Arabidopsis thaliana: one gene and its partners. The protein of the gene in region 1 interacts with the protein of each later gene in a biochemical or structural test. Each region holds a gene or a part of one and is shown in the gene's direction. Other genes may lie near its edges.

Region 1 (7,953 bases):
TATATACTATGGTATGCTATAATATACTTGTGTGTACCATTTGACGAAGAAGCAAGAGTGAAGGCGGTGAGGAGAGAAAGGGCCAAGAGGATCAAACAACACATCGACGAACATTTCATATTCAAAACAAGAACACAAAATCCTGCGATAGGAAAAGAAAAAAAGAGAGAAATCAAGGGGATGAAACCAAGTGCCTTGATGCGGTTGGATAGGTGGTTAGGCCATTCTCTATTTGGGAGAGTTTCATTCAGAGAGGGAACAATATGTCAGAAACACTGAACCTATTGAGTGAGTTCACGTGATGATGTTGTTATATGCGAAGTGGTTTTTTTTGTCATGTGAAGTTGTGCTTTTATATAGATACTAGCCTATTAGAGTACCACGGGTTGATGCATGCTTTGGTTACAAGTTTCTTACCTAAATCTTACCATTTGCTTGTTTTGTGTTTGTGTGTGTGTGCGTGCAAAAAACTCTCACGCCTGCAAAATGCAAACTCACGCTACGATCCAGATTTGTTTTCTATAGGAGATGGATATATCTGATAATAAAAATATTGAATATAGTTTTTTACTTTATTATAAAATATATAATTAAAAGTTAGAGATTTTGAATTAACATATTTAGTTTGATTCGAAATTTAAATTTACAAGATTTTGTACTAATGTTTTTAATTTCTTATTTTATAGAACTCAAATATTTGGAAAACAATACAAAAGGAACCAATTACCATAACTAAAGAACCACCAAAATTTTAAAAATTAATTTTGTTAGTTGATACAAAGGGAAACCAATATTGTCGTCTATGCATTTTTAGATTACGTTGTTGTCAACATTTGGATATAAATTTGTACGAATTTAGCTAAATTTCATATCTTTAAAGTTTAAACTCTCAAAAGATTTCAAAGATTTAGCTTTACAAGTGACAATTGGGCCCAAGTTAACAAACGTATCTGCCCTTGTGATGCAGTCACACGCTCCTTAGGAGTTAGGACTATTACTCTTGCATGCGATGATTTGGGCTTTAATACGGCTAGTTGGGCTTTGAGAATTCTCTTATCAGACTTTCTTCGAAGCCCGTCTCAATGTCTTCGTGAATTTTTCTTTTAATACTGGTAAAAGAAACTATACTAATATTTTAATGCACATGAAGATAATAATACTCCTTTGGACGGTATAATACCTGTATACGTGACTAATCAACGAATTAAATTTGAGCATTGTGGTGGCGAGATCTTGGATCATCTTCGCTTGGCCGCTTGGGCGGTGGTCGTCGGCATCGTCACTAATTAATTATTGTGATTAAGAAAAAATGCTAAATTGAGTTTCGTCGTCTTCTGCTTCTGCTTAAGCTTCTTCATCATTTAGCTCCAGAGGCGGAGCTTTCTTCTCTCTCTGTGGACGACCATGGCGGCGGACGACGGCGACCCCACTAAATTCGCTGCAATCTACGACTCATCCTCTCCGTCACACCCTCTTCTCTCTAAACCCTCCACGTCCGCTCTCGATTCTCCGCGTCGAAGTGATCCCGAATCCGACCCAACTCAGTTTCTTCAGATCTCCTACAATTTTGGCCCAAGAACTTTCAAGGACATCCCTTTCCTACTTCTCTTCGATCTTCTCGTACTCTCCACCTTTGGTTTTGGAATCTTCTCCATTTTTCATAGAAATAACGATTACGGGAACTCCTCTTCCTTCACCTACGATTTCACCTCTAGCTCCTGCGTCAAAAATTCTACCTTTACGAAAATTTCGGATGGGTACTACTGGGCTTCTTCGAGTGTCATGTACGGCATGGTTTCTTCGTCTGATCCAGTCTTTGAGAAGGATTTGATCTGGACACTTGTTGTAACGCTTATTTTAAGCGTGCCCTTCTGTTTTAGCGTCCTGCTTTTGCTCAAACACTACACTAAGCAGATTGTTTATGCTTGTTTACCTCTCTTTGTCCTTTTTCCCATCTTTTTCAATGTCTATTGGTTTGTCGCCTGTACTCTTAGCTCTTCTTGTAGCGATGCCCTCCCTCTAGCTTACAGAATACTTGTCCTAGTCTTTGTTTTCTTGATCATCGGGATCATTGTCTGGATCATAGTAGCTAATTGGCACAGAATTGATCTTACTATCCAAATCATCAGTGTTGCATCTGATGCCTTGTCCAAAAATTTGAAACTTTTTGTTGTGCTGCCGCTGCTGACTCTCGGGTTAGTGGTGTACTATGCGCCGATTGTGGTGTTCTTGGTGTTTGCAAGGTTTAATGGGAAGTTTGTGCCGCGAGAGTTGGATGGTCAGTACTTTTGTGAGTGGAAAGAAGATTCTTGGGTTCCTGCGTATTACGCTCTTGCCATTTTAACGATGATCTGGTCTCTTGCTGTAATGGTGGAAATGCAAGTGTATGTGATAAGTGGAGCTATTGCTCAGTGGTATTTCTCCAAGGAAGACTCAATCCCTAAAAAATGCATCCGGAGTTCTTTGAGGTGACTCGCTGCCACATCTTTCTCTATTTTATTCTTGTTATCAATGAATTTGCTGTGCAGTTTCTCTTACAATCAATGGTGCTCTTAGTTCTAATATATGTTTTGTGTGATCGCGGGAGTTTTTGCTTTGAGTTCTCTTAGTTTTGTTTCCTCATAAAATATAATCTATGGTCATTCGAAGTATCCCTTGCTTGGCTTCGTTCTGGAGTATTCAGTGATTCTAGGTCATGGTATTCATAGTCTTGGCCTTATAGATTGGATATTGTATTGGAATCCATCATCTGAACTTGTTTGGTACTTTAAATGTGAAAAGAGACAACAGACAGTGGTATTTTTGAAAGGAGATTATAGCTTTGAGGATCCAAATTTGCATTAGTCTTCAAATCTGTTGTTGGTTTATGTCAAAGCATGTGTGAATCTTATTATTTTTTGTATCTGTCTCTTCAGGAATGCATTTGGTCAATCCTTTGGTACGATATGTGTATCAGGACTTCTCATATGCATTGTTCGTGTGGTCCGGGCAATTGTGGACAATGCAAGAGAAGAGAACACACAAGGAATAGTGAACATGGTTCTCCGTTGCTGTGCAAACGCCTTACTTGGTGCCCTTGACTATCTCAACAAGTTCACCATCAACTTTGCTGCAATAACAGGGGAAGCGTATTGCACCTCTGCGAAAATGACTTACGAGCTGTTAAGACGCAACCTACTGTCAGCTGTATTTGTCGAAACGGTTTCCACCAGAATCCTAACCGGAATAGTCTTTGTCCTGTCAGCCGCATATGCAGTCGCGGTAAGTATTATCTTCTGCTTGTCTCACCAACCAAGCATTTAATAATTGCCATAATGACTAATTCCGGGGTTTGATGATGCGCAAAAGCAGACATGGGCTGTTCTGAGAGGAGTGAGCAACCTGGGTATAGATTCGTACGTGGTGGCTGTACTGGCGTGGGTGTTACTGATTGTGATATTGGCTTTCTTTGTACATGTTCTTGACGATGTGATTGACACAATCTATGTCTGTTACGCGATTGATAGAGACAAAGGGGATGTATGTAAGCAGGAAGTTCACGAGGTTTATGTTCACTTGCCTATCAGCAGAAGCACAAGATCTTCTCTCATCCCAAATGCTCTTAATGCATAGCAGAAGATGATCCAACGTCTCTGCTTGTTGTATCTTTTTTTGTTTGTTAGCACCGTTGTAAATTCCTCTCTGGTGAACTGTGGTTTGTCTTCTTGGGGTTTATATTGATGTTTTGTAGAGTTATGGGGTAACAATGTTGAATAAAAGAAAGACTTTAGTTATAGGAATTACTGTAATGTGGTCTGTGTTTCTTTTATTCATTAATAAATCAACTTTGTTTTGCTTTTTATCAAAAACAACCATTGGGGCTAAATTGAAATAAACGTAAAACATTAGGGTCTAAAAGGAGAAAGTAAAAAAGTAAAGGGGATATTTAAAGAAGAACAATGTTATTATTATCGGTCTAAACTAAAATCTAAATCTTGCCTTCCTGACTTTCTCTCTACGACAGAATTTTTGAAGCTTCTCTCTGCTTATCGACACGATGGTTCTCGAGGTGATTTTCCAATTACTTGTGCTTATCTTCGTTGATGATCCACGTTGAATGCTTTTTCTCATCGATGATTTCTTGTTGTAGGCGACTATGATATGTATCGACAACTCCGAGTGGATGCGAAACGGAGATTACTCTCCGTCTAGGTTACAGGCGCAAACGGAAGCTGTTAATCTTCTTTGCGGAGCCAAAACCCAGGTAATAATTTACGTTTTTTCACTTGATTCGATTAGGGTTTTTGGGTTTGCGTGAGATTGTGATTTTTAGGGATCTTTCTTTTTTGCAATTGCAGTCGAATCCGGAGAATACGGTGGGGATTTTGACAATGGCTGGCAAAGGAGTTAGAGTATTGACTACTCCTACCTCTGATCTTGGCAAAATTCTGGCCTGTATGCACGGTATGTATCTCTCTCTCCAATCTTTCTATTTATTATTAGCTGTCTACTTAGAGCAATTAGAAAAAATCTGTTCTTTCTCTTTATCATTGAGTTTGACATCAATTTGCTACTTGCGTCATCTTTTCAGGCCTTGATGTGGGAGGAGAGATCAACTTAACCGCAGCTATCCAGATCGCCCAGCTAGCTCTTAAGCATCGCCAAAACAAGAATCAACGCCAAAGGATTATTGTTTTTGCTGGAAGGTACCGAATTGCTTTGTTTTTGCTGAGTAACTTTTGTATAGTTTTATACTGATGTTTTTCTTCTGCTTCTACTTTTTAGTCCAATCAAGTACGAGAAGAAGGCCCTAGAGATAGTTGGAAAAAGGCTGAAGAAGAATAGTGTCTCTCTTGATATTGTCAATTTCGGGGAGGATGATGATGAGGAAAAGCCTCAGAAACTCGAGGCGCTCCTTACAGCTGTGAATAACAATGACGGTAGCCACATTGTTCATGTTCCTTCTGGAGCCAATGCTCTCTCAGATGTGCTTCTCAGGTACCATCCCTTTTCTTCTTTTTTTCTAGGTTATGTAGATTGTAAAAGGAACAGTTTCAACAATATCCGGCTTGGTAGGTGCACTTCATGTGGTTTTGTGTGTTTAGGTCTTTTGAGCTCTCTAGTCTTGCTTTTTATCAATGCTGCAACAAAACATTTAGACAGTGATTTGAATCATAGATAGTGTTTTAACTTTTAAATTTTCTTCCAGCACACCTGTATTCACGGGTGATGAGGGTGCAAGTGGCTATGTTTCTGCGGCAGCTGCTGCAGCGGCCGCAGGTGGGGACTTCGACTTTGGTGTGGACCCAAATATCGATCCAGAACTTGCTCTTGCCCTTCGGGTCTCCATGGAGGAGGAGAGAGCAAGACAAGAAGCTGCTGCCAAGAAGGCGGCCGATGAGGCAGGTCAGAAAGACAAAGATGGGGACACAGCTTCCGCCTCACAGGAGACAGTTGCTAGGACAACTGACAAGAACGCTGAACCAATGGTTAGTTGTTACTTAAAATTGAGTGTAGCATTCTTATATAGTCACAGGCGGAGAGATTGTTAATCATACAACCTTTTGTGGCAGGATGAGGACAGTGCGTTGCTAGATCAGGCAATTGCTATGTCTGTTGGTGATGTGAATATGTCAGAAGCGGCTGATGAGGACCAGGATCTGGCTTTAGGTAAGTAGAACAGTGTGGTAAAAGTATATCCATGGCAATCAAAATTGGCATTTTTCTTATATTTTTTTATACTCCATGTGCAGCTCTGCAAATGTCAATGAGTGGGGAAGAGTCAAGTGAAGCTACAGGTGCTGGAAACAACCTCTTGGGAAATCAAGCCTTCATATCGTCTGTTCTCTCATCGGTAAGCCTACATAAACCTTAGTCAGTTTTTTTCACAAGCAAAATGAAAGAGAAAAGTAGTAGGGTTAGCTTTGGTACTAAGACTTTGTGTACACGCAGCTTCCTGGGGTGGATCCAAATGATCCGGCAGTTAAAGAACTACTAGCGTCTCTGCCAGACGAGTCAAAGGTGTGTCTTTGTTGATGTTTATGATTACATCTTTTTGTTATTTGAAAAAGAAGATTCTGATAAATGTATATGGTTAAAATGACAGCGTACCGAGGAGGAAGAGAGTAGTAGCAAAAAAGGCGAGGATGAGAAGAAGTGAAGAAGGATCTGAGAGTCTCAATAAAAATTCCTCTTGTTTCTTTGGTTTGATAGAGATTGGAACTGAATTTAACTAATCTCTCTGCCTTGTGAAATTTGTTTTTTTCTCTCTCTCTCGCCTTTTTATAATGTTGTTATTGTACGAGTCAAGGACTAGCTTCCTTCTTAATTTTTATTGGACTTTATGTCAATGGGCTCTTAGAAAGTAAGCCTATTTGTTACAGGTCTCTCGATCAATTCAGTAGAATAGCGAGTCCTAAATTCGTAATGAACCTTGCACAAGTGTCAAATCTGAAATATTCTTACGACAGTGCAAAAAGTCTACATTGGTAATTAAATTTTGCTCACATTTCTGCGAAGTTATGTTTTTCTCCAAGTAATTAAAGTCCCACGTGGCAGTTAGGTACTTAATTCCTTTGTTCTACTGTTGGCTCGTTTTTTTGTTCTTTGCAATCTAATTTTTATATGCGCTTATTAGTCTGCTAATTGCAATCTATTTGCATTATTTAATTTATATTTATCCCAAGATATGTGTATTTGTCTGCTAATTGCCACATGCGAGCTGTAGTTTTGATCATCTACGTACGTGTAAACTATGCTACACAAACAAATTGAATTGCTAAATATGACTATCGTTAAAGACTTTTTATTGGGGAAACTTATTAGTGACGAAATTTCTTTGTTCCCTTTTAGAGCAAGAAAGGGAAAGACAAAAAGAGTCACAAGACTCACAAACTATAACATAAAAAAAAAGAAAGAAGAAAAACTGATAGAAGCTTCTATTGCATCTACCTAACACCTTTTGAAAAAGTCGTTTCTTTACAAATGAAAATGAATAATATTAGAAAGAAGAAGGAAGAGGAGGCAGGTGCGTCTGTCTTTGTTCACTTGTGTCTGTGTGTGTGGTCATCCTTTTGTCCTTTTCCCCTTTTTCCTTATCTTCAGTTCTCACCACTCCTCCTCTCCCATCTCTTTCATTTCCAAAATATCATCCTCCTCTATCAACTTCTACATGTTTTTTTTTGTTATTCCTTCACTTTCATAATATTTACCCAACCACTGTTAAATCTCGATGTTCGAAATTAATCAAACGTTCTCAACTTTATTTTAGACTTCAACTGATTTTGTTTTTTTTTCCAACTTTAAATTTGTTTCATTAGTTGATGCAACCTGAGAAAACTCTTATTGATTCCATTATTGTTGAGTTTGTATCTTCATCAGAATATGATATATATCAAGCCCCAGTGCTAGTGACAACAACTTGTCATTTGGTGATCATATAATTTCTCAAGTGATTATACCAGTTTTTGAGATCTTACCAATTTTTGGCCAAAACAAAAAAACAAACACACAACTGGAGTATATAACCATTTGATCAATTTTAAAACTAAATCTAAATATATACGAGGAAATAATATACTGCTCTATTGGGATTTGAGATGATAATTAATGTAGTAGCTAGAGAGGGTTTTTGTAGTGTTGAGGAGAGGATATCAACGAAGGAACATGTACAACACCGATTTTACCAAGCATCTTACGATAGAACAATGTTTAAGTTTACGAGTCGCTACTCTTTCTAAATTCAACCATGTGGCTACATTCAATGAAACTCCTATACATAATTTTTATATGCATGCATGCATAAATATATTATGTGGTATATGGATATACAGTATATGTATGTTATGCATTCATGTGTAATATGTATGTATGTATGTATGTATGTATGTATGTATGCAGATGTAGATCGCTTGCAAGTGGACAAAAGATGAGGAAAGGTTGGTATATAGGTTGGTAGGGAGATGGGTAGTGAGA
Region 2 (7,880 bases), on another chromosome or scaffold:
ACTGCTACTGAGATTTTCTTCTTAGCTTCCATGTATTTCTTCTTCAATCACGGTGAAGGCGGTCCTGGGAGGTGTTATTCTTCAGGGAAACATGTGTGGCTCTCTGATGCAGTTAACTCTGAGTCTGACTATTGTTTCAGGTCTTTTATGGCGAAATCTGCGGGAATCAGAACGATCGTTATGGTTCCTACTGATGCTGGTGTTCTTGAGCTTGGTTCTGTTTGGTCTTTGCCTGAAAACATTGGCTTGGTTAAGTCTGTTCAAGCTTTGTTCATGAGGAGAGTTACGCAACCAGTAATGGTGACTTCAAACACTAACATGACTGGAGGGATTCACAAGCTTTTCGGGCAGGATTTGAGTGGAGCTCACGCGTATCCTAAGAAGCTCGAAGTGAGAAGAAACTTGGATGAGAGATTCACTCCTCAAAGTTGGGAAGGCTATAATAACAATAAAGGTCCAACATTTGGTTACACACCTCAGAGGGATGATGTGAAAGTGCTAGAGAATGTGAATATGGTTGTAGATAATAACAATTACAAGACGCAGATTGAGTTTGCGGGATCATCAGTTGCTGCTTCTTCGAATCCATCTACAAACACTCAGCAAGAAAAATCAGAATCTTGTACAGAGAAAAGACCAGTGAGCTTGTTAGCAGGAGCAGGAATAGTTTCTGTTGTTGATGAGAAGAGACCGAGAAAGAGAGGGAGAAAGCCTGCAAACGGAAGAGAAGAGCCATTGAACCATGTGGAAGCTGAGAGGCAGAGACGCGAGAAGCTTAACCAAAGATTCTACGCTTTACGATCAGTTGTTCCAAACATTTCTAAAATGGACAAGGCTTCTCTACTTGGAGACGCAATTTCTTACATCAAAGAGCTTCAAGAGAAAGTCAAGATAATGGAAGATGAAAGAGTAGGAACAGATAAGAGCTTATCAGAATCAAACACAATAACAGTAGAAGAAAGTCCAGAAGTTGACATTCAAGCTATGAATGAAGAGGTTGTTGTAAGAGTAATCTCGCCTTTGGATTCACATCCAGCTTCAAGAATCATACAAGCAATGAGAAACTCAAATGTTAGTCTAATGGAGGCTAAGTTATCATTAGCTGAAGACACAATGTTTCACACTTTTGTGATAAAGTCTAACAACGGGTCGGATCCATTGACGAAAGAGAAGCTTATAGCAGCGTTTTACCCCGAGACCAGCTCGACGCAACCGCCATTGCCTTCTTCTAGTTCACAGGTCTCTGGTGATATATAAGTTTCACATGATGGTGAAGCTTTTGTCTATTCTTGTTTCAGTATAGATAACTTTCAGGTTCAACTAGAAATAGATAAAATCCTTTTTTCTTTTCTCTTTCTTATAGTGAAAGGAATCCGGTTTAAGTATATTCATTAACTTTATTTAGACCATTGATTCACATATTTGTATCTTGGGAAAATATTTCCTATACTTTAGAAAATCAAATAAAGTATGAAAGATATTTGACTTCTCTTTCTTTGTTATGGATGCTTTATTCAGTTACAATTTGGGATCCATTCTTTTTTTTTTTCAAATAAAGCAATAGTTATAACAAGTTAATATTATCCAATCAATGTTATTCAGGTAAATATTTGATTAATTATCTTGTAGAATGTTCATGTACATTTGAATTTTGAAGTGACCAAATCTTATATATTGGTCATGAATATGATATATTGACATTTCAAGAGACTGAGCTAAAAATTACTTAAAAATGAGAATCAATTATTTTTTTTCCATTGGTCCATTATTTTATGCAATGCAGCACATAATAATCTATTTTGGTTTTGGTTTGGGCTTCTGGTAGTTCTGAAAAGCCCAGTATAAAGCCCAACTCCATTAATGCATCTTCACCTCTACGACGAGAATTGTGCTTCCGATTCATTTCACATAGGGTTTGTTTCTCCGATCAGATCCAATTTCAATCCTTCTCCGTCAGATTATCTCCTCGGCCACGATGTCTCTCCGCCGCACTATCCTCGATCTCCACCGTCAAACCCAGAGAGCCACTCTCTCAAAGTCTCTACCTTTCTCGATGAGTCACATCTCCTCCGCATCCGCCACCGCCGCCGTGAGAAACCCACTGGGAAGAGACCTCTCTTCAATCCCCTTCGCACAAGCCCAGAAACTGAAACCAGATTCAACCAATCTCGTCACCGATCGCTCGATTTCGTCTTCAATTGGGCAATCTGAACTCAACAAGGCAGCCAAATTCTCGCGTCAATCGTCTTCTCGAGGTTACACTAATGGCTCTTTCTTACGCAAAATCCCTGTAGTCTTTCACATACATGAAGGAATGGAAGAGATTTTGGCGGATTATGTTCACCAAGAAATGACAAGGAATTTGATTGTGATGTCTTTGGGATTGTTCCAGATTATCGTTCTTAAAGATATTATCTTGTTTCTTCTCTGAAACCAAGTAAACATCTTTTGGGATCTAAGGAACACTCTCGATCATCATCACCTGTTAATGAATGAATAGTGTGGGCTAAAAAAAAGGTCTTTCCTTTTATCTTCTTTGTTTTATGAATAAGAACTTGATGCAATGTTGCATTTTTACCTTCAAGCTTTTGTTGTGTGTTGTTTCAGTTTCTGGTTTCGTGTATTTGATTCTGTAAGGCTTAAAATGGAATTCTAAGCCTGTTAATCTTTTGATTGAATAATGACAACTTTTCTCAGCTTTGAGGATCATTTAATCACTACGTTTGCATTTCGAATTTAGCTTTACTGTAATCAGAAGCACGAGAGACTTACGTGAGTTTTGCAGTAGAAAAGTTGTGGTTTTTACCAAGTAGATGGTTTGATTATATACAACTTTTGAAGAGATTTTCTGGTTTTGGATTTGGTGTGATCATTATAAAGGTGATGGAGACTCTCAAGAAGTCACAAACAGAGAATTGTCGATGTTATGTTTACTTAGATCAAACATGAGATTTTGAAGATATAAAGCTATCAAATTGAATCTTAGTTAGATGTTCATGAACCTGGTTAAGATGCAACTGGACCAACAATATTCATGTTCCATAGCAGAAAGCCTGAAAGGTTGAATAGAACAAAGGGATATGAAACGAGTTAAAGAAGCGAATTAAAAGGCCCATCTTTTTATCTGTAGGCCCATACGAATTACGATTGTACTGGTTCATTGATTCAAATACTAACTCTCTCCTTATCCGAAGTTTTAAAAGCATCCTAATCCAAAACGGTGAAATAATGACGATTAAAACCCCAAAGTCTCTGGCTTGGTTTCCACTCCAAGGGTAAAATACAAAACAAAATCAACGAAACTGCCGTACACCGTTGACAATAAACAAAGGAAAAGTGTACATTAAAGAAGAAGAAGAAGAAGCTTCATTGTACGCGTCACCTACGCGAACGAGGTGGAGACACGTGTCCTTCCTACCACTTTCCTTTTGAAAAACCTCTCTCTCTTTCCTCTAAACTCTTTTGACCCTTGTTTCGCGAGCTGTTTTGTACGCCATTAGATTGAACCCTAAAAACTCTATTATTGGATTGGATCATCATCGTTAAAGCTCCACGCCTTGTCCCAATTTCCTCTTTGGTTCTTTCCTTCTGGTAAGAATCCGCTCTCTTTCTCTCTTTCTTTTTTCTTCATATGGTACGTCATCGGCGACATCAATTGGCTCGATTTGATTCACCTGTAGCTATCAATCAATCCCTGATCTGTTTAGGTTTGATCTCCTCTGTTTTTTCCTAGGGCTTGTTATTGTTGTTTCTCGAAAAAGAAGAAGAAGCGATGGTATTGGGATTTTAGGGATTATTGCGGTTTGTTGTATATATATATATAGAAGCTGAGGGATTTTGTGTTGTGAAGAACATCGAATCCTGTTTTTTTCCGTAAGAAAGTTCTTAGATTTCTCCAAGTGAAAGAAGATGTCATCAGCTGGTGTTGCGTTAAGTCCGGTTCGTAGCGAGCCATTGATTATGCCTCTGGTTCGTGCCAATTCTTGTCTTGATTCTTATCCTGACGACACCATCATGATTTACCTTACACTTCCTGGATCGGTGATACCAATGCGAGTGCTTGAGTCTGATTCCATTGAGTCTGTTAAGCTTCGGATTCAGTCTTACCGCGGCTTTGTTGTGAGGAATCAGAAGCTTGTTTTCGGTGGTCGAGAGCTAGCTAGAAGCAATTCTAATATGCGTGATTATGGTGTTAGTGAAGGCAACATTCTCCACTTGGTTCTTAAGCTCTCTGATCTTCAGGTTCTTGATGTTAAGACTACCTGTGGGAAACACTGCAGGTTTCATGTCGAGAGAGGGAGAAACATTGGGTATGTGAAGAAGCAGATTTCGAAAAAGCGTGGAGACTTTGTTGATCCTGATGAACAGGAGATTCTTTACGAAGGTGAGAAGTTGGAAGACCAGAGTCTTATTAATGACATTTGTAGAAACGATGACTCGGTTTTGCATCTGCTTGTGCGGAGATCTGCTAAAGTTCGAGTTAAGCCGGTGGAGAAGAACTTTGAGTTGTCTATTGTTGCCCCACAAGCAAAAGATAAGAAGGGTCGTGAAGCTAAGAGCATTGTGCCACCAAAAAAGCTTTCTTTGGAGCCGGTAGTTGTTAACTCCAAGGCTAAAGTACCTCTGGTGGTTAAAGATATGATTCAGTCTGCTTCTGATGGACTTAAAAGTGGGAATTCTCCGGTCAGGTCAAGCGAAGGTACGGGAGGAGCTTATTTCATGCAGGGTCCATCTGGCAACAAATTTGTGGGTGTGTTTAAGCCAATAGATGAGGAACCAATGGCTGAGAACAATCCTCAGGGTTTACCACTTTCGCCAAACGGTGAAGGTTTGAAGAAAGGAACAAAGGTTGGAGAAGGTGCATTAAGGGAAGTCGCTGCATACATTTTGGATCATCCCAAAAGTGGAAACAAATCTATGTTTGGTGAAGAGATAGGTTTTGCTGGTGTACCTCCCACAGCTATGATTGAATGTTTGCATCCAGGGTTTAACCATCCCAAAGGAATCAAAACCAAGATTGGATCACTTCAGATGTTTACTGAGAACGATGGCAGCTGTGAAGATATGGGTCCACTTTCATTTCCAGTAGAAGAAGTTCATAAGATTTCTGTGTTGGATATTAGACTGGCCAACGCAGACAGACATGGTGGGAACATTTTGATGACCAAGGACGAAAGCGGGAAGCTCGTTTTGGTTCCTATAGACCATGGATACTGCTTGCCTGAAAGCGTAAGTGCTCTTACTCTTTTTCTATTCTTTCTTGGATTCAGTTTTGCCTATAGTGTTCATTGTCATGAAACTAACTTTTGTTTTCGTCATCAGTTTGAAGATTGCACGTTTGAGTGGCTATATTGGCCACAAGCCCGGAAACCGTACTCTGCAGAGACCCAAGAGTACATAAGATCACTGGACGCAGAGGAAGATATTGATCTACTAAAGTTTCATGGATGGAAAATGCCGGCAGAGACGGCTCAAACGCTCAGAATCTCAACGATGCTACTGAAGAAAGGAGTGGAAAGAGGACTAACAGCATTTGAGATTGGAACCATAATGTGCAGAGAAACACTTAGCAAGAAGTCTCTGGTGGAGGAAATGGTAGAGGAAGCTCAAGAAGCTGTGCTTCCAGGGACGAGCGAAGCTGCATTCCTCGAAGCCCTATCCGATGTGATGGATTACCATCTCGATCACTCTCAGGAACACTAAAAATGGTTCTTGTTTAATTCAAAACTCTGGTATATACTCTTTGGTTTGCTTTTTATAAACCTGTTGGCTTTTGTATTTTTAAAACTTTTTCATTTCTGTCATTCTTTGGACATGTTCAAGGTGTTTTGTTAACTTCACTCAGACATATTTCATGGTAATGACAATTTAAGTGTTTACAATAGTTTTCTCTCTTTGTAAGATTTAGCTCTTCTCTACGATATACATGTCTCTCTGTTAATAAGCAATGAATGACGTCAAATCTACTGTGAAACTCCAAAACTGTCAAAATCTTACAGGAACTTCAAAAGGCAAATCGATGAGAACGAAACTCAAAGATGAGCAGAAGCAATTCACAATCGTTACTTTCGTATTGAATCTGCTCTTCCTGTAGCTCTTTTTGATGTCTCTGTTTTCTCAAGTCTTTCATGTCATTGAGCTTCGCTTTGAATTCCTTAAGGTACCAAGGTCCGATCATCCTCTTCCTATTCGAAAAGATACACATAAGCCATGCTTTGCATCGCAGGCGATTCCAAAGACCCGGTACAGCTTCCATGACAGAATCCAAAGCTTCACCAAGCCTTTCAGTTGTGCTTACCACGTTCAAAACGCAAGACCATCGCAGGGGCCAAGGTTTTCGTTTAAATATTAACAAGGTTTGTTTGTTAGCGAGCATCATCTAAAGAGAACAAATACAATCTTTCTATAGATCCTCCGACTATAATGTTCTTAGTCTAACCAACAAAATAAATATTGTTATCTTAAAGAAAGTGTGTGCTTAGGGTTCTCATGATTTGAATTATAACATGTCTCCATTCAATTTCTTAAAAATGTATCTTGACTAAAGAGAACAAGTACGACCTTTCCATAGATTCATCAGACTACAATATTCTATTATTCCTCATCTAACCAACAAAATGAATATTGTTATTTTTATTTAAAGACGAAAGATAGAGATCTCTTAAGTTTGAACTATATATATATTAAGTGAAATAATAACAAGTCTTCTTGTCCCTCCCTTAGTACAAAAAACCACCAAATGACTTTCTCAAAACAACTCTTCCTTTACCTCTTCTTCCTCTTCCCTCTCCTACACGCTTCACACCCACAACAATGCTCTTCCTCCTCATGCGGTCGTGATGATGTCCATGTCCGTTTCCCTTTCTGGTTACTCTCAAAACAGCCTGAGCTCTGTGGCCATGCCGGATTTAATCTCCAATGCACAGCTAGTCCCAAGACAGCTCTCAAGCTTCCTAATTCCGGAACATTTCTTGTCCGAGAGATCGACTATTTAAGCCAGCAGATTCGTCTCTATGACCCTGAAAATTGCTTGGCAAGAAAGCTTTTGACCTTCGACATATCAAGATCTCCTTTCTCTGCTCTCTACCTTGTCAGCTACACGTTCTTGAGCTGTCCTAATGAGGTTGCAAAGTCGTCCAGGTTTGACTCCATCCCATGTCTAGGCAATTCAACGACCTCGTTCTTGGCTACAACTAGTTTGGATCTCGCGAAATCTATGCTGCCTTCTTGTCAGATCGTCAAGACATTAGATGTTCCGGTTTCTCGGCGAGTTATTGCCAAGAAATCAAGATTCTCGACTGATGTCAACGATAAAGACCTTTGGCTGAAATGGGATTCTCCAAGTTGTAGCGATTGTGAGAGGGATTTTTTGAGATGTGGATTCAGAAGCAACACTTCTCTCCAAGTCAAATGCTTCCCTTTTGAAAATTCCGGTACAAATTACTCCAATTCTTTCTCTTCTTAGTTCTTATAACTTACATTAATTAATAGTTATGAATTAACGACGAATGAGTTAGTCTTCATAAAAAAAGTTCAAATTGGAGGAATCTTTGATTATTTGGGGTTTTCAAATAATTATCCAATGATTAAACAACTAGACAAAAAATCTAGTAGGCCATTACATTTGACATTGAGCCGTTGACTATATATTGATTAGTTAAATATTGTTTAACCACATTTTTTAAAAAGATCAAATCTCCACTCTTTTCAATATGTCATAGACTGTTGTACTCCGTAGATAATCCCTTATAATACGAATTTTAAAAGAATAGTGGTAACATGACTTGTTGTTTAGTGATTGTGTTATCATCAGATTCAACAAAGAAAAAATAATACGTACATGGTGGCTTAAGTAAATTGATCTTTCGAAACATGATTTT
Region 3 (8,815 bases), on another chromosome or scaffold:
ACTTCAGAGGGGTCTGCCGTTCAGCCACTCTCATGGGAGATAAGGCTTAAGATTGCAATAGGAGCAGCTAAAGGCTTAGCATTCTTACACGCTTCAGAGAAGCAAGTAATTTATCGAGACTTCAAAGCGTCAAACATTCTACTTGATGGGGTAAGTACATACAGATTGCTTATGGATTTGATGTAGCAAATCATCAAGTGTGAAATTTCAACTGGTTTGCTCTTGATGCAGTCATATAACGCAAAGATATCAGATTTTGGATTGGCGAAATTAGGACCTTCCGCTAGTCAATCTCACATCACAACACGGGTTATGGGTACACACGGTTACGCAGCTCCAGAGTATGTTGCTACAGGTACTACAATGTTTTGTATTCTTAGTTCTTTTGGTTTCCAACAACAAACTGTGAACATGTTTGTTGGTTCCAACAGGTCACTTGTATGTAAAGAGCGATGTTTACGGGTTTGGCGTTGTTTTGGCTGAGATCTTAACTGGTTTACATGCGCTTGATCCTACTCGTCCTACCGGGCAACACAATCTAACCGAATGGATCAAACCTCATCTATCCGAAAGAAGAAAGCTAAGAAGCATAATGGACCCTCGTCTAGAAGGAAAATACCCTTTCAAATCTGCTTTCCGAGTAGCTCAACTGGCTCTGAAATGCCTTGGACCCGAACCCAAAAACCGTCCATCGATGAAAGAAGTGGTGGAATCGCTCGAACTCATCGAAGCTGCCAATGAGAAACCGTTAGAACGAAGGACCACTAGAGCTTCCCCATCCATCCGTCAACAACAAGGCCATTATCGCCCGCAACAACTCTCTTCGTTTCGTCCTAGACAAAACGTGTCTCGAGCTCACTAGTGTTGTTTGAAGACACTGAGATTCTTTTCTTAGTTTTGTATTTGTTAAGATTATCAAAACCCATTCGTATGTATACTACATGAAAGAGAAAACAAATGTTGTACCTGTATTAGTATGTAGTGTTTGGTGTGTGTAATATAACTACTTAAACGGTTAAACCAGATTATGAAAAGGTTTAACTAATGGTCATCAATATATAAGCCATTGTTCACACAATTTTGTTGTTAAAGCTTCAAACTTTAGTTGTGGTTTGAAGTATGGTAATGGGATCACACTTGTGTTCAAAGCTACAAGCTTTGTCTTCGAAGATTAAGCAAGCTTCTGTTAGTGGAAAATGGCGGGAAGTGGTCTCTGGGTATTCAGAGATACAGAGAGCTGGAGTTCAATTTAACGATCCTTTCGTTTTCCCCATTGTTTTTAAAGCTTGTGCTAAGCTCTCATGGCTGTTTCAAGGTAGATGTATTCAAGCAAGTCTGTTAAAGAGAGGTTTTGAGTCTTTTGTTTCTGTAGGGAACTCAATTGCTGATTTCTATATGAAATGTGGAGACTTGTGTTCTGGGTTACGAGAATTTGATTGTATGAATTCGAGAGATTCGGTGTCTTGGAATGTTATCGTTTTTGGGCTTCTCGATTATGGTTTTGAAGAAGAAGGGTTATGGTGGTTTTCGAAGTTGAGAGTTTGGGGTTTTGAGCCTAATACTTCAACATTGGTTCTTGTGATTCATGCGTGTCGTAGTTTATGGTTCGATGGAGAGAAGATTCATGGCTATGTGATCCGTAGTGGGTTTTGTGGGATTTCGTCTGTTCAAAATTCGATCTTGTGTATGTACGCAGATAGTGATTCTTTAAGTGCACGTAAACTGTTCGATGAAATGTCTGAAAGAGATGTTATTTCTTGGAGTGTTGTAATCCGAAGTTATGTGCAGAGCAAGGAACCTGTTGTTGGATTGAAGTTGTTTAAAGAGATGGTTCATGAGGCGAAAACAGAGCCTGATTGTGTGACTGTGACAAGTGTTCTCAAGGCTTGCACGGTGATGGAGGACATTGATGTTGGAAGATCAGTTCATGGGTTTTCGATACGGAGAGGTTTTGATTTGGCAGATGTGTTTGTTTGCAATTCACTTATTGATATGTATTCAAAAGGATTTGATGTTGATTCAGCATTTAGAGTATTTGATGAGACCACTTGTCGAAACATTGTTTCATGGAATTCGATTTTGGCTGGGTTTGTACATAATCAAAGGTACGATGAGGCTCTTGAGATGTTTCATTTGATGGTGCAAGAGGCGGTCGAAGTGGATGAAGTTACAGTCGTGAGTCTTCTCCGGGTTTGCAAGTTTTTTGAGCAGCCATTGCCTTGCAAGTCAATACATGGTGTAATAATTCGGCGTGGATATGAGTCAAACGAAGTGGCTTTGAGTTCTTTGATTGATGCGTATACAAGCTGCAGTCTTGTTGATGATGCAGGAACCGTGCTTGATTCGATGACGTACAAGGATGTGGTGTCATGTAGCACAATGATCTCTGGATTAGCCCATGCTGGCCGATCCGATGAAGCAATCTCAATCTTCTGTCACATGAGGGATACGCCCAATGCTATCACCGTCATAAGTCTTCTTAACGCATGCTCAGTTTCAGCGGACTTGAGAACTTCCAAATGGGCACATGGGATTGCTATCCGGAGAAGCTTAGCCATCAATGACATCTCAGTTGGTACCTCTATTGTTGACGCATACGCAAAATGTGGTGCCATAGAAATGGCGAGAAGGACTTTCGATCAAATCACTGAGAAAAACATCATCTCTTGGACCGTGATCATTTCAGCATATGCTATTAATGGTCTACCGGATAAAGCATTAGCATTGTTCGATGAAATGAAACAAAAAGGTTACACACCAAACGCTGTGACATATCTGGCAGCTTTATCAGCTTGTAATCATGGAGGATTGGTAAAGAAAGGTCTCATGATCTTCAAATCAATGGTAGAAGAAGATCACAAACCTTCATTGCAACATTACTCTTGCATTGTAGACATGCTTAGCCGAGCTGGAGAGATTGATACGGCTGTGGAACTTATCAAGAATCTTCCAGAAGATGTTAAAGCAGGGGCTAGTGCTTGGGGAGCGATTCTTAGCGGTTGCAGAAACCGTTTTAAAAAATTGATCATTACCTCAGAGGTAGTAGCTGAGGTTCTTGAACTCGAGCCCTTGTGTTCTTCAGGTTACTTGCTTGCGTCAAGCACATTTGCTGCAGAAAAATCATGGGAAGATGTAGCAATGATGAGGAGGTTGGTGAAGGAGAGAAAGGTTCGGGTCGTTGCGGGTTATAGCATGGTTCGTGAAGGAAACTTGGCAAAGAGGTTTTTGGCTGGAGACAAGTTAAGCCAGAGTGATTCTGAATTAAATGATGTCGTTCAGAGTCTTCATAGATGCATGAAGTTAGACGATACTGCAGGACCGATAAACTAAAGCCCTTTGGGCCTCAACGAAGCAGATAAATGATATTATTATACGATGCCGTATGTATTCTCGGATCCGGGTGAGAAAAGGAACGAACCGGGTTTTGTTTTTGACCCGACCCGGTCCCTTCGATCCGTTCTCTGAAGCAGAAGTCTTCTTGTTTTGTTCTCTTCGATCCATTTCGTCAAGCAATCTACCGAACCGACTCAGAGCTTTTGAGTCTTCTAAATCTCTATCGAATTTTTCTAGGGTTAGGGCTCCTGATCGATTTCGCGAGCTCTGCGATTATTTTAAGTATTAGGATCCGAAATTAGAAATGGGTGGAGAGGGAGATTCAAGTCAGCCGCAGAGTGGTGAAGGAGAAGCTGTGGCTGTGAACATCAGGTGCTCTAATGGCACGAAATTTAGTGTGAAGACGAGTCTCGATTCAACGGTGGAGTCTTTCAAAGAGTTGGTGGCTCAGAGCAGCGATGTTCCAGCTAATCAGCAGCGCTTGATTTACAAGGGTCGTATCCTCAAGGACGATCAAACTCTCCTCAGCTATGGTAATCTTCATCGTTTCTGATTTATTCGTGTGGGTACTTTTGTTGTTCTCGTAGATCCTTATTGATTGAAATTCTTGTGGATTCTATTCTCTGTGGAACATGTTATACCTAGGTTTGCAGGCTGATCACACCATTCATATGGTTAGAGGCTCTGCACCTTCTTCAGCACCACCTCCTGCTCCGGCCGCAAGCCAAACCACTGCACCTAGTGTTACTCGAGGGGTTGGTTCAGATAATAGCTCGAATCTAGGAGGAGCGAGTCCTGGGGAATCTTTGTTCCCTGGGCTTGGATTTAATCCTCTGGGTGGTGGAAATGCTATGTCTGGGTTATTTGGAGCTGGTCTTCCGGATCTTGTGCAGACACAGCAACAACTAGCTCAAAACCCTAACATGATTAGAGATATGATGAATACTCCAGCCATCCAGAACCTTATGAACAACCCAGAGTTTATGAGGAGTATGATTATGAATAACCCTCAAATGCGTGAGCTTGTAGATCGCAATCCTGAGCTTGGTCATGTGCTCAATGACCCAAGCATCCTTCGTCAAACTCTAGAAGCGGCAAGAAACCCAGAGCTTATGCGTGAAATGATGCGGAATACTGATAGGGCTATGAGTAATATTGAGTCTATGCCTGAGGGATTTAACATGCTTAGGCGTATGTATGAAAATGTCCAGGAACCGTTAATGAATGCTACCACTATGTCCGGGAATGCTGGAAACAATACAGGCTCCAATCCATTTGCTGCTCTGTTGGGAAACCAGGGGGTCACTACGCAAGGAAGTGATGCTTCTAATAATTCTTCGACACCAAATGCTGGAACGGGGACTATTCCGAATGCAAATCCACTTCCTAATCCTTGGGGTGCTACAGGTGGTAAGTAACTGCATTTTCATCTTCTAATCTCCTGTCGATTTTATTTGTCTTTTGAAGGATGCAGTAATATTTTATAAATGAAAAAGTGGCTTGTTTATAAGAAATGGACGTTACTGTTCACTGCTCTGCTTCAGGAACAATATTGTGTATAGTAAATTGGTGAGTTAGTGTAGTTACCACAATTTGTTGTTATGTGTAGTTTTTGCATATGATTTTCTTGGCTTATTGTTTCTAATTTAACATTTACTCATAATACACTAAATATAATTGAACATATTGTGGGCTACTTGACAGGTCAGACAACTGCCCCTGGAAGGACAAATGTTGGTGGGGATGCGAGGAGCCCTGGACTTGGTGGCCTTGGTGGTCTTGGAAGCCTTGGAGGCCTTGGTGGACTCGGTATGCTTGGAGCGGATTCACCTCTTGGTGCGACTCCAGATGCTTCTCAATTGAGCCAGTTATTGCAAAACCCAGCCATATCGCAGATGATGCAAAGCGTATTTTCCAATCCACAATACATGAATCAGGTAGGCCTAGAATGATCTGAACTTAAGAGCCTTTTACCATTGTGAACATATATTAATTGTTTTCCCTTGATTCCAGCTTATGAGTCTTAACCCACAACTCCGAAGCATGCTAGATTCGAATCCTCAGTTGAGGGAAATGATGCAGAACCCAGATTTCCTTCGTCAGTTTAGTTCTCCGGAGATGATGCAGGTTAGTTTGTCCCCTATTGTCTGTATGCATATGAATTTTTAACATGGTAGTCTCTCAAAAGAAACATTTCTTTGTATCTAAGCTATTTTCAAGTAAAGAAGTTTCTTTTCTTTTTTTTTTTTGGGACAAAGTAAAGAAGTTTCTTAAACCTAATGTTTTCTATTGTTTTTTGGTCTTCAGCAAATGATGACTCTACAGCAATCACTATCTCAGAATAGAAATACAGCCAGCCAGTAAGTTTTGTTAAAACCCTTCGTTGTTTGGATTTGCTTAAACAAAGTTGAGCATTTACATGTCCTTTACATATTGTTTTTTGGGTTGTTTAGTGTTTAGACAATGTTGTAACTAGCTAAAAAGATTGGTTGTGAACGATCTCTATAATAAGAAAAGGATTGAACCATGACTAATGCAGCAACTCTTGTATGATTTACTGGGCTGATCACTAGTAACATCTATCAAAGAGGCTATAAATAAAGCATTTTAATCGTTGGAATACACTTGAATAGGGCTCATAACATTTTGTTTGTTTTTGATTATGCCTTTTAGCATAAGCTATGTGTGTTAATCTCCATATTTTGATTTTCATCAATCCGCATTCATGTTCCCAAATCTATCTTCTCTGTAGGGATGCGGGGCAAACTGGTGCTGCCACAGGTACTCTTAAAGATATTATATGTATTTATTCTACAGTAGTATAAAGGGTTTAGTTATGTTACGTAGTATAGCAGCTACTCTTTAGTTCTCTTTGCTTTCATGTATGTTTTATTTTAGCAGATATTGTATCGTATACAAGTTAATAGTAGAATGACAATACTGATGGGGACAGGAAATAACGGGGGGCTGGATTTATTGATGAATATGTTTGGCAGTCTTGGTGCTGGCGGCCTGAGTGGCACGAACCAATCCAATGGTTAGAGACTACAAATTTTTTTTAGCTTACGCATCTGTTGTGATGGTTCCACTGAAACTTGTCTGTTTGATTCCAGTTCCTCCTGAAGAGCGGTACGCTACTCAATTGCAACAGTTGCAGGAAATGGGATTCTATGACAGAGCAGAGAACATTAGGGCGTTGCTTGCAACCAATGGTAACGTTAACGCTGCTGTAGAACGACTCTTGGGGAGTATCGGACAGTAGCATACAGGTTCATGAACTGATGTCTCTCCATCTGGCTTCTCAGTTATAGAATAAACAGCTTGAATGTGTGTTTTTCAGTAATGATATATTCATCGAATTCATAAAAATTTATATATGATAGGATCGTGAACTTTGTTGATAGAAAAGCCGCATCAATACGGTATTTGTTATCAGTGGTCACTCTTCGTCTTTAACTACCCTTAAACCTATATATCTTGGGTGTTTATCTTTGATAACTTATTTCAAGTTGTTACAACATACAACATCTGTAAATGTTTATAGACATCAAAGTGAAATTGAACCCATTAAATTTTTGGTTCCTTCTGATCCGGTTCAAAGGTTAAACCAAATTGCCCAAAGAGAGAAGTGGCATGTTGCAAAGGAATATCCAATTAGTTGATTCATCATCTTCAATTAGATTCAAGTTACAGCCAATTCCTTCCTGAACTATATACCAAATGCCTCAATTTAGACCCGACCCGGCCCAATCTTACCCAGTAAGAGTCGTCGATACGTTCTCTGAAGCGCAAGTCATTTCTGGATTCTCATTTAATTGGCCGTTCGGGGCCAAATAACTCTTTAATTTTCTGCAGTCTCATTTGTTATTCGACCAAAAATAATTTATATCCCTTTCCTCAAGAAATCTTCAGAACCGACTTATTAGAGCTTCGAGTCTCCTCAAATCTTCTTCTACGATTTTTTCTTCTAGGTTTAGAGCTTTTGATTCTCCGATCAATTTCGCGATTTGTTGAACTAGGATCTGAAATTAGAATGGGTGGTGAAGCAGATTCGAGGCAGCCGCTGACTGCTGAAGGCGTAGCTGTTGCCGTGAACGTCAGATGCTCCAATGGCACGAAATTTAGTGTGACGACGAGCCTCGATTCCACGGTGGAGTCTTTCAAAGAGTTAATTGCGCAGAACAGCGATGTGCCGGCAAATCAGCAGCGTTTGATTTACAAGGGACGTATCCTCAAAGACGATCAGACTCTCCTCAGCTATGGTAATTTTCTGATCATTTCGTGTTTCATTTCTGTTGTTCCGTTGCTTTAATTTGACTGAAAATCTCATAGGGTTTCTAGGGGGTTGGAACATTGGATTTATGTTAGGTTTTTACAGAAGCATGGATGATTTTATGAGTTTTGATGTATGCTTAATCCTTCTATGGGAAGAATAAGGAGATGTAGTTAGTGATACGATAATTGATTCATACCATTCTTAGAGTTCCTAATGTTCTCATGATCATGTATCTTCTTGGGATGTATATTTTCTCCATCAATGGCTGTTGTTGATATGATTGTGTTGGATAGTTTCCACGTTTTATTGTTTTGCATCATGAGCCTCAATGTTTCCTTTCTCTGTGGACCATTTTATATATAGGTTTGCAGGCTGATCACACCGTTCATATGGTTCGAGGTTTTGTGCCTTCTTCTCCTTCTGCTCCCGCTGCAAATGCTGGAAACCAAACCACTGCTCCTCAAGCGGTTGGTTCAAATGATAGCTCAAACCTCGGAGGAGGTGAATCTTTGTTCCCTGGCCTTGGATTTAATCCTTTGGGTGGTGGAAATGCTATGGCTGGATTATTTGGATCTGGTCTTCCTGATCTTGAGCAGGCACAGCAACAACTAGCTCAGAACCCTAACATGATTAGAGAGATGATGAATACTCCAGCCATCCAGAATCTTATGAACAACCCAGAATTTATGAGGAGTATGATTATGAATAACCCTCAAATGCGTGAGCTTGTAGATCGCAATCCTGAGCTTGGTCATGTGCTCAATGACCCAAGCATCCTTCGTCAAACTCTAGAAGCGGCGAGAAACCCAGAGCTTATGCGTGAAATGATGAGAAATACTGATAGGGCTATGAGTAATATTGAGTCTATGCCTGAGGGATTTAACATGCTTAGGCGTATGTATGAAAATGTCCAGGAACCGTTAATGAATGCTACCACTATGTCCGAGAATGCTGGAAACAATACGAGCTCTAATCCATTTGCTGCTCTTCTGGGAAACCAGGGGGTTACTACACAAGGAAGCGATACTTCTAATAATATTTCGGCACCGAATGCTGAAACGGGTACACCTAATGCAAATCCACTTCCTAATCCTTGGGGTGCCACGGCTGGTAAGAAACTGTATTCTCATCCTCTTAATTTCATATGGGATTTTACTTGTAGTTTAAGGTTGAAATATTAAATATAAAAGCAAGAGTGGCTTGTTT
Region 4 (6,972 bases), 6.4 Mb from region 1:
TTGAGAGGCAATGGAAGGGGGAGAAGAGTTTCAAGAAGAAGAAGTGTGGTCAGTTTTGAGAGAAAGTGAAACTCAAGGTCCTGAAATGAAAATGTCCAAAAGTAACAATCTCTTCTCAGCCTCTTCCTCATCTTCTGCGAGGTACATTCCTAAAGGCAACGAGGTCTCTGGAGGGGCAAAACAGTCATCTGCTCCAATGAATATTCCTGACTGGTCCAAGGTTTATGGGTATTCAAAGAAGAACACAAGCAGCCACTTGCATTCATGGGCCATTGACGATGATGATGAAGGCTCAATGGTTCCTCCACATGAGTTAGTAGCAAAAAGACTTGCAAGAACGCAGATCTCATCATTCTCTATGTGCGAAGGAATCGGAAGAACGCTCAAAGGAAGAGATCTCAGCAAAACAAGAAACGCTGTCTTAACAAGAACTGGTTTCTTGGAATCGAATATCACATCTTCATCAACAACATCACCACCATAGTTTTGGCATGGCATGGAGCATGGCTGGATGATCAATATCACATTCACACAAAACCCTTTTTAGCACCATACCATATCATTATCATGAAAAAAAAACCTAAAACCTTATGGTATCCACATGATTTTTATTAAATATCAATGTTATTGTCGTTATCACCATGTAGGGAATCATGACACTACCAATATGGTTGAGTTCTCTTTTTTTTTTTTTGTTGTTGTTGTTGTTGTTGTTGTTAGGTTTTTGGATTTTTTTAGATAAGTATGATGACGATGAGGATGACTTGTCAATCCCATGCATGGGCCCATACCATTTTTCTCATGTTATGTTTGTAGTTCTCAATGGTCTTTTAACTCTTTAGCAGTGCTTAGTGAGCTTAAATTATAGTTTAGCAAAACAAAATGGCATATACTTTGGAACCTTTGAATGTGAGAAATTTGAAAGCACTCTCGATCTCTTCACCATTTTGGCCTCGACCAAGAGAGAAAAATGTAGCGAATAATGTTAACATTTTTGGTCCGACACAAGGTTAAGGGGCTCGTTCCATATTGCTCACTACCTTTCACTTTTCAATGTTATATAGCAACTAGACATGGTGTTACTAGGGGAATGGGGTATATGTATCTGTTATCTATTTCGGTGTGTTGATTTAATTTTTTACTTCGTGTATTCTTGAACCAATCTGCAACTGAAAAAGTTGTATTTGAATTTGGATTAATTCGTTTCGTTGCTAAATATCCATTTCAAGATATACATAATAAATATATTAGTTAATTTACTATGGTAAGATATATTTTCAAGAATGAAGTTGTATAAATAAAAATACTTGTTTCGATAATTTTCAGTTTTATTCACGTCGGTACTATCTCACCCGTACTAAATTTGAATTGCCGACAAACAAAAAAAATGTCAAGTTCGGTTGGATTTTTTATTTTGTTTGGATCTACTCAATATATAAATAGTACCAATCACACTATAAACGAAATTTACTCATCTTTCCTTGGCCCTAGCAACGGTTCATGATAATCATTCTTTCTTTTTACAATTTACTTTTTCGAAATAAAAAATTGTAGTAAAATTACAGTTTCAACTAAAAAAAAATCTTGTACAGAGGTGCCACAAAAATGCAATTCAATTTTATATAAAAATACAACGACAACAAATTTGTTACTTTGTCAAAGCGGATTATTTGGCACGAAAAATTCGTGCGGAACCGCTACATATCATTTTTGTAAATAATTTTCTTCAAAATTGGCTCGTTTGAGTCATAAATAACACCTGATGACAAAAAAAAAAAAAAAATTTTTTTGTTACTTTGTAAACTTTTGCTAACCAAAGCCTATATAAAGGCCCAATTAGCCCAAAACGACACAAAAATGTGTGAAGAAATAAACAGATGGTGGTGACGTAAGACAAGTGTAAGAGATTTCTTGTAATCCAATCAACAAATAATAATAAACGAATTCCAAGTGGTTTACTTATTCCAGAAACAGTTCCGTGTAGGCAACCATTAGGAAAACCCTAACTAAATTCCATTATTAATTTCTTTTATAATCCCTTTCTCTTGACATTGACTTCTCTCTCTCGATTCTTCTTCTCCAGTTTCAATCAAACTCAATTTCTTCTCAACGAACCCTAATTTCCAACAAATCGGATTCAGTTTCTTCTTCGGGTATGTTTCTTCTCACCAATAAATTCGAGATCTTTTAGGGTTTTCTGGGTTTGTTTCTCCCCCGATCTAGCAGACGATCGAGTTTATTAATTATGATCTTTGCTTGCTTGAAATTCGCAGAGACTAATCGAATCGCAATGGCTAAGAGTTCCTTCAAGATCTCTAACCCTCTCGGTTTGTTTCTTCAAATCCCTTTCTCATCGAATTTTCAATTACTTGATTTTTTGTTGAGTTTCTGAATTCTGTTAAAACTTGCTTTAGATCGTGTATGGTTTTGATTTTGGAACTCAATTTTGATTGGTTTTGGGATCAGATTTAATCTCTGCATACGCTTTTGATTCTTCCTTTGTTGTTCGTTTCTCTGTTTTTGTTTCTAAGCCAAGCTGTGAGATTTTATAGATATCTCTGTTTAATGATGTACTTGTCATTAATCTTGTGGTTATGTTTTGTTAATCAGAGGCAAGGATGAGTGAATCTTCTCGAATCAGAGAGAAGTACCCTGACAGAATTCCCGTAAGCTTACAAATTCATGAGTTGATTAACTTCTTTTCACTAAATTTAGTCTAATTTAGAATCTTGGATTGTATGTAGGTGATTGTGGAGAAGGCTGGACAAAGTGATGTTCCTGACATTGACAAGAAGAAGTGAGTAATGGGTTTGCTTTATTTACTCTTTTTCTATATCATAATCTTGATAACTTATGTTTCTTCCACTTTCTTTTAGGTATCTTGTACCAGCTGATCTAACAGTGGGACAATTTGTATACGTGGTTCGTAAAAGAATCAAGCTTGGAGCTGAGAAAGCTATTTTTGTCTTTGTTAAGAACACATTGCCTCCAACTGGTAAGAGTTCTTAAACTCTTTAACACCATTCAGGATCAAAGTTTCTTTCTTTACCACTAACTTTGGTTTCACTTTTGTTTCTTAACAGCTGCATTGATGTCTGCGATCTATGAAGAACACAAAGATGAGGATGGGTTCCTCTACATGACTTACAGTGGAGAGAACACTTTTGGATCTCTTACCGTTGCTTGAATAAAAATCGATCTTTGGATGACTTTGATGTACATACATAAATCAGGAAGATAAAGATGTACATTGCTTCCTTCTTTTCTCTGGCTTTTAACTTTGCTTTGGATGTTTGGATATCTTTCCCTTTGGGTTTATTAATCGTCAGAAACTTCTCCTTTTCTTACTTTCCTCTTTTGCTTTTACTTAAATAACATTGATTTTGGGGCTAATGAGTAATGAGTCACTTTCATATCAAACTTGTTCATATCCATCACAAAGGCAAAAAAGGAGTAATACACTGAAAATTGGTAAAAATAAACTCACAAAAGGCAAAACCTTGGCGTAATTATTTTTAACCACAGCTATACAAAAGGCTAAAGCTCCAAATAGAGATTCTCATCTTCACCTTCTTCATCTGTTCTAGCAATCTGGAACGAGACTGGATGGTCTATTATTGATCTCTTCGTCATCGTAGAGTCGGCGGATTTTATTGCGGATTTACCGAACAAGATTCAAGAAAGATGTCAAAGAATCAACATCTCTCTTCTCTGATGGATACTTGATTGGTCTTGAAGAGTTCTTTGGGAACACAAGTATTGTTGGAAAGCTTCCAAGCTGCAACTCCTTTTTGGCAAAGTCCTTCTGGTCACCATCAGCTCTAAACTTAGCAACCTTCACACCACTTCCTCCCAGCTTATCCGCCAATTCATCGAATGAAGCTTCCATTGCCTGACAAAACGGGCACCACGGTGCATAAAGCACAACGATCCAAGCCTCTTTCCGGTTCTCTAACTTCATCAAATTCTCAATCCCTTGCCTGCTCAAGTTCACAACATTCTCGCTATTGAAGATATCCGCGACTGAGGCTGTCCCGTTGACATTAGCGGTTGCGTTTCCATTGGTATTCTCCTTGATATTCCCTTTGTGAAGGCCACACTCTTTAGCCTTAGCATCTTCCCACCACCATCTCCCTTCTCTCTCATGCTGACCCGGCAAAACCGCTCTCGTGCATGGCTCACATCCGATTGAAACATAACCCGCAGCGTGAAGCGTGTTGACAGGAACATCCATCGTCCTCAAGAAATTCCAAACATCATTCCCTTCAACATTAGCAACCGGATTCCACTTCACCAAACTACCAACTCCACCATCTAATCCTTCAAACACTGGATCAACCTGAACAACAGGAATCTCCGATCTTGTCCCGGGTGATTGATCTTTCCTCTGACCAGTGATCCAAGCACGTAAACCCTTCAACGCACGCCTCAAAGGTCTCACCTTTCTAATACGGCAACACTCCTGGTGACCATCTTCATAGAAAGAGAACAAACCCTTGTTCCTAACTAAAGCTTGAACCTCAACAGCATCAGGAAACATATACTCAATCCGAATACCGTAATGTTTCTCCACGGTATCGAAGAGTCTATATGTTTCTGGATTCAATCTCCCTGTATCCAAACTGAATACCCTATAAGGTCTTCCAGTTAAATGAGCATACTCAATCAGAGCAACATCTTCAGCTCCACTGAAACCAAACAAAACAACAAATCAGCAAACTAAAGGAAAACAAAAACATTCCTTTATTGTATTCTCATGATTCAATTCATTACCTAAAGGCAATAGCAATGTCATTCCCAAACTTCTCAAGAGCTTTATCCATGATCTCAAGAGGAGAAGCATTCTCTAATCTCTTTGCTAGTTCCTCAAAGTCTTCAACTTCCACCACATCTAGCTTCTCTGTAACCTCTGTTTTGTAATGAAGCACAAGATCATTAGCATAAACCTTAATCAAATTAACCAATGATCAATTGAAAAATCAAACCAGAACTTACCAGAAGCAACAATGGATTCCTTTGTAATTGATTGCACATTAAGAGCTTTCACGGAGGATCTCTTCCCGGACAAACTCAGAGAAGCCGCAGAGACATTGGTACGATTCAATAACCTCAATGATCCGATTTTTGTTACTGTATTGAAGAATCAAACAAACAAATTGAATAAGATTCGACATTGATCGAATTTGAACGAATTTAAAACCAAAACACAATGACCAATCAAGGCATTTCTAAGATTCTCCACGAATTTGGTATTGAAAATGAAATAAATTACCTTTGAGATCTGAAGAAGGGAAGCTAGAGCTTGAGATCGCAGAAGAAGAAGATGAAGAAACGTTGATTGCTAGTGCCATTTTCACTCCAAACCAAATCTCTCGAAACAATGTTCTTAAGTTTTTTTTATTTTTGTGTTGTGTTTTTTCTAATTTTGTGTTCTCTTAAGATTTGTTGAGAGAAATGGGATTATAAAAGAAGCAGCTGAAATTTAGGTTCATTGAACCTAGACGTCTTTTTTTAGGTGGCGGCATTTGCTTTTCTATATATCATTGCTTGCGTCACTTTGGTCGTGTGGCAGAGAAAACTAGTCAACTTTGGTCCAAGAATTCTTTTTTTTTCTATTAATGTAACATACACTTATCTCAAAAACATTTTACACGCTTAATTTTATTTTAGAGCTAACAAAAATAATCTAATAATAAATTAATCTAATTTGTAAAATATAAACATGGTGATATGTTTGATTATTAATTTTAGATAAATACTTTCTCGTGTATTCTTTCCTTAAAAATCCGAAAAAACGATCATATTTATAGAATTAACTAAATAAAAACAGTTGAGATTTTCTTTCACTGAGATTATTTTTCGTTTGTTACGATTCTATCATTTAGTTTAACTTATCAATTTATCTACAAAACCTATCGATCTCTTCATTTCTTCTAGAAATTGCACGAACCGATATTTCATAAACCATATTTTACAGTCAAAATTAGTCTTGGTTGAAAAACAAATTCCGATCCTAACCACAAACACTTTTGGGTTCTGTTAAAAACAAACATAAAAAAACATCATACAAAAGTATATCAGAAGCAAACTTGTGATCTTAAACCTTCCAAGATTTCATAAGATCAACAAACTAAATTATTCTTATTCATCAACCAAGTCTATAGTAATCATGATCTCAACAAATCAATTACTTGTCTTCTTTAGCTTTCTCTTCTTCCTTCATCTTCTTTTCCCACCTTCTCTTCTTATAATCAAGCAACATCTGAGGCATCTTCAACATAAGCTTCGCAGTGTTCTCTCTTTTCTCAGCTGAAATTCTATCACATTTATGCCCTTTCCTCTTTGTCCTCATAGCTTTCCTCTCTGGATCATAAGGCCAATCTTCTCCATTAGTCAACACTTCTTTCCTCAGCATAGCCCTCCTTCGTGCACTTATCCCTAACGGTTTCCATGCTCCCATCTCCCAATAACCCCACACACCTTTCGTCAACTCGGTTCTGTACTTATCGAGTTTCGCCCTCCATGGATGTTGAAACCCTGTCACTGTCTTTGCCACAGCTTCTGCAGCTTTTCCAGCCATAACTTCTGCATATGCCCAAAACCACAATTCTTTAAAGATGATAATATCTCATTGTAATCCAATTAGCTCACAATAAGTTAAGAAACCTATAAACTTGCTAGCTAAAAGCAGAGGAGATCAATTGAAGGAAGGTATTATATGATAGTGATGCATAGAAGCAAAAAGATACAAACTTTGAATCCAAAGAGAGATTTGGTGATGCATAGAAGCAAAAAGATACAAACTTTGAATCCAAAGAGAGATCATAGTGAGAGTGAACTTGACACAACATTTCTTACAAATCAAACGCAGATTGGTTGAAATGTTGTTAAAAGAAGAGTCTTTGGAGACTAATTCTTGATTTACTACGCAGAAATGTGATGCAAATGGATCTAAATCCTCTAAAATTAGGG

What was found.
Region 2: of the proteins of RPN10 (region 1) and PI4K GAMMA 4, one has a biochemical effect on the other in vitro, tested with the Arabidopsis thaliana proteins (one study listed by BioGRID).
Region 3: the proteins of RPN10 (region 1) and DSK2 form a complex in vitro, tested with the Arabidopsis thaliana proteins (one study listed by BioGRID).
Region 4: the proteins of RPN10 (region 1) and APG8A form a complex in vitro, tested with the Arabidopsis thaliana proteins (one study listed by BioGRID).

What each region holds. Positions count from the first base shown.
Region 1 is NC_003075.7:18,055,543-18,063,495, reverse strand, and holds RPN10 (regulatory particle non-ATPase 10), read left to right. Parts: upstream 1-3,897; 5' UTR 3,898-4,036; coding exon 4,037-4,048; intron 4,049-4,129; coding exon 4,130-4,243; intron 4,244-4,337; coding exon 4,338-4,443; intron 4,444-4,570; coding exon 4,571-4,685; intron 4,686-4,764; coding exon 4,765-4,977; intron 4,978-5,188; coding exon 5,189-5,468; intron 5,469-5,552; coding exon 5,553-5,649; intron 5,650-5,732; coding exon 5,733-5,833; intron 5,834-5,931; coding exon 5,932-6,000; intron 6,001-6,085; coding exon 6,086-6,139; 3' UTR 6,140-6,508; downstream 6,509-7,953. Other genes in the region: AT4G38650 (Glycosyl hydrolase family 10 protein), read right to left, coding at 38-119; AT4G38640 (Plasma-membrane choline transporter family protein), read left to right, coding at 1,405-2,468, 2,916-3,261, 3,352-3,612. UniProt on the Arabidopsis thaliana protein: Plays a role in maintaining the structural integrity of the 19S regulatory particle (RP), subcomplex of the 26S proteasome.
Region 2 is NC_003071.7:19,084,564-19,092,443, reverse strand, and holds PI4K GAMMA 4 (phosphoinositide 4-kinase gamma 4), read left to right. Parts: upstream 1-3,214; 5' UTR 3,215-3,591; exon of another isoform or gene 3,592-3,733; 5' UTR 3,734-3,909; coding exon 3,910-5,229; intron 5,230-5,322; coding exon 5,323-5,703; 3' UTR 5,704-5,952; downstream 5,953-7,880. Other genes in the region: AIB (ABA-inducible BHLH-type transcription factor), read left to right, coding at 1-1,257; SDH4 (succinate dehydrogenase subunit 4), read left to right, coding at 1,976-2,431; AT2G46495 (RING/U-box superfamily protein), read left to right, coding at 6,740-7,433. UniProt on the Arabidopsis thaliana protein: The phosphorylation of phosphatidylinositol (PI) to PI4P is the first committed step in the generation of phosphatidylinositol 4,5-bisphosphate (PIP2), a precursor of the second messenger inositol 1,4,5-trisphosphate (InsP3).
Region 3 is NC_003071.7:7,479,913-7,488,727, reverse strand, and holds DSK2 (ubiquitin family protein), read left to right. Parts: upstream 1-3,487; 5' UTR 3,488-3,637; coding exon 3,638-3,866; intron 3,867-3,978; coding exon 3,979-4,743; intron 4,744-5,037; coding exon 5,038-5,270; intron 5,271-5,346; coding exon 5,347-5,460; intron 5,461-5,640; coding exon 5,641-5,693; intron 5,694-6,085; coding exon 6,086-6,114; intron 6,115-6,286; coding exon 6,287-6,370; intron 6,371-6,446; coding exon 6,447-6,595; 3' UTR 6,596-6,847; downstream 6,848-8,815. Other genes in the region: Kin3 (Protein kinase superfamily protein), read left to right, coding at 8-150, 232-355, 432-862; AT2G17210 (Tetratricopeptide repeat (TPR)-like superfamily protein), read left to right, coding at 1,120-3,330; AT2G17190 (ubiquitin family protein), read left to right, coding at 7,367-7,595, 7,973-8,719. UniProt on the Arabidopsis thaliana protein: Binds and presumably selects ubiquitin-conjugates for destruction. Prefers multiubiquitin chains rather than single ubiquitins, with a binding affinity for 'Lys-48'-linked ubiquitin chains.
Region 4 is NC_003075.7:11,653,623-11,660,594, forward strand, and holds APG8A (Ubiquitin-like superfamily protein), read left to right. Parts: upstream 1-1,990; 5' UTR 1,991-2,245; coding exon 2,246-2,327; intron 2,328-2,610; coding exon 2,611-2,666; intron 2,667-2,744; coding exon 2,745-2,797; intron 2,798-2,876; coding exon 2,877-2,995; intron 2,996-3,083; coding exon 3,084-3,187; 3' UTR 3,188-3,412; downstream 3,413-6,972. Other genes in the region: AT4G21970 (senescence regulator (Protein of unknown function, DUF584)), read left to right, coding at 11-484; APR3 (APS reductase 3), read right to left, coding at 3,662-4,688, 4,774-4,909, 4,996-5,130, 5,273-5,351; AT4G22000 (tyrosine sulfotransferase-like protein), read right to left, coding at 6,188-6,580. UniProt on the Arabidopsis thaliana protein: Ubiquitin-like modifier involved in autophagosomes formation. May mediate the delivery of the autophagosomes to the vacuole via the microtubule cytoskeleton.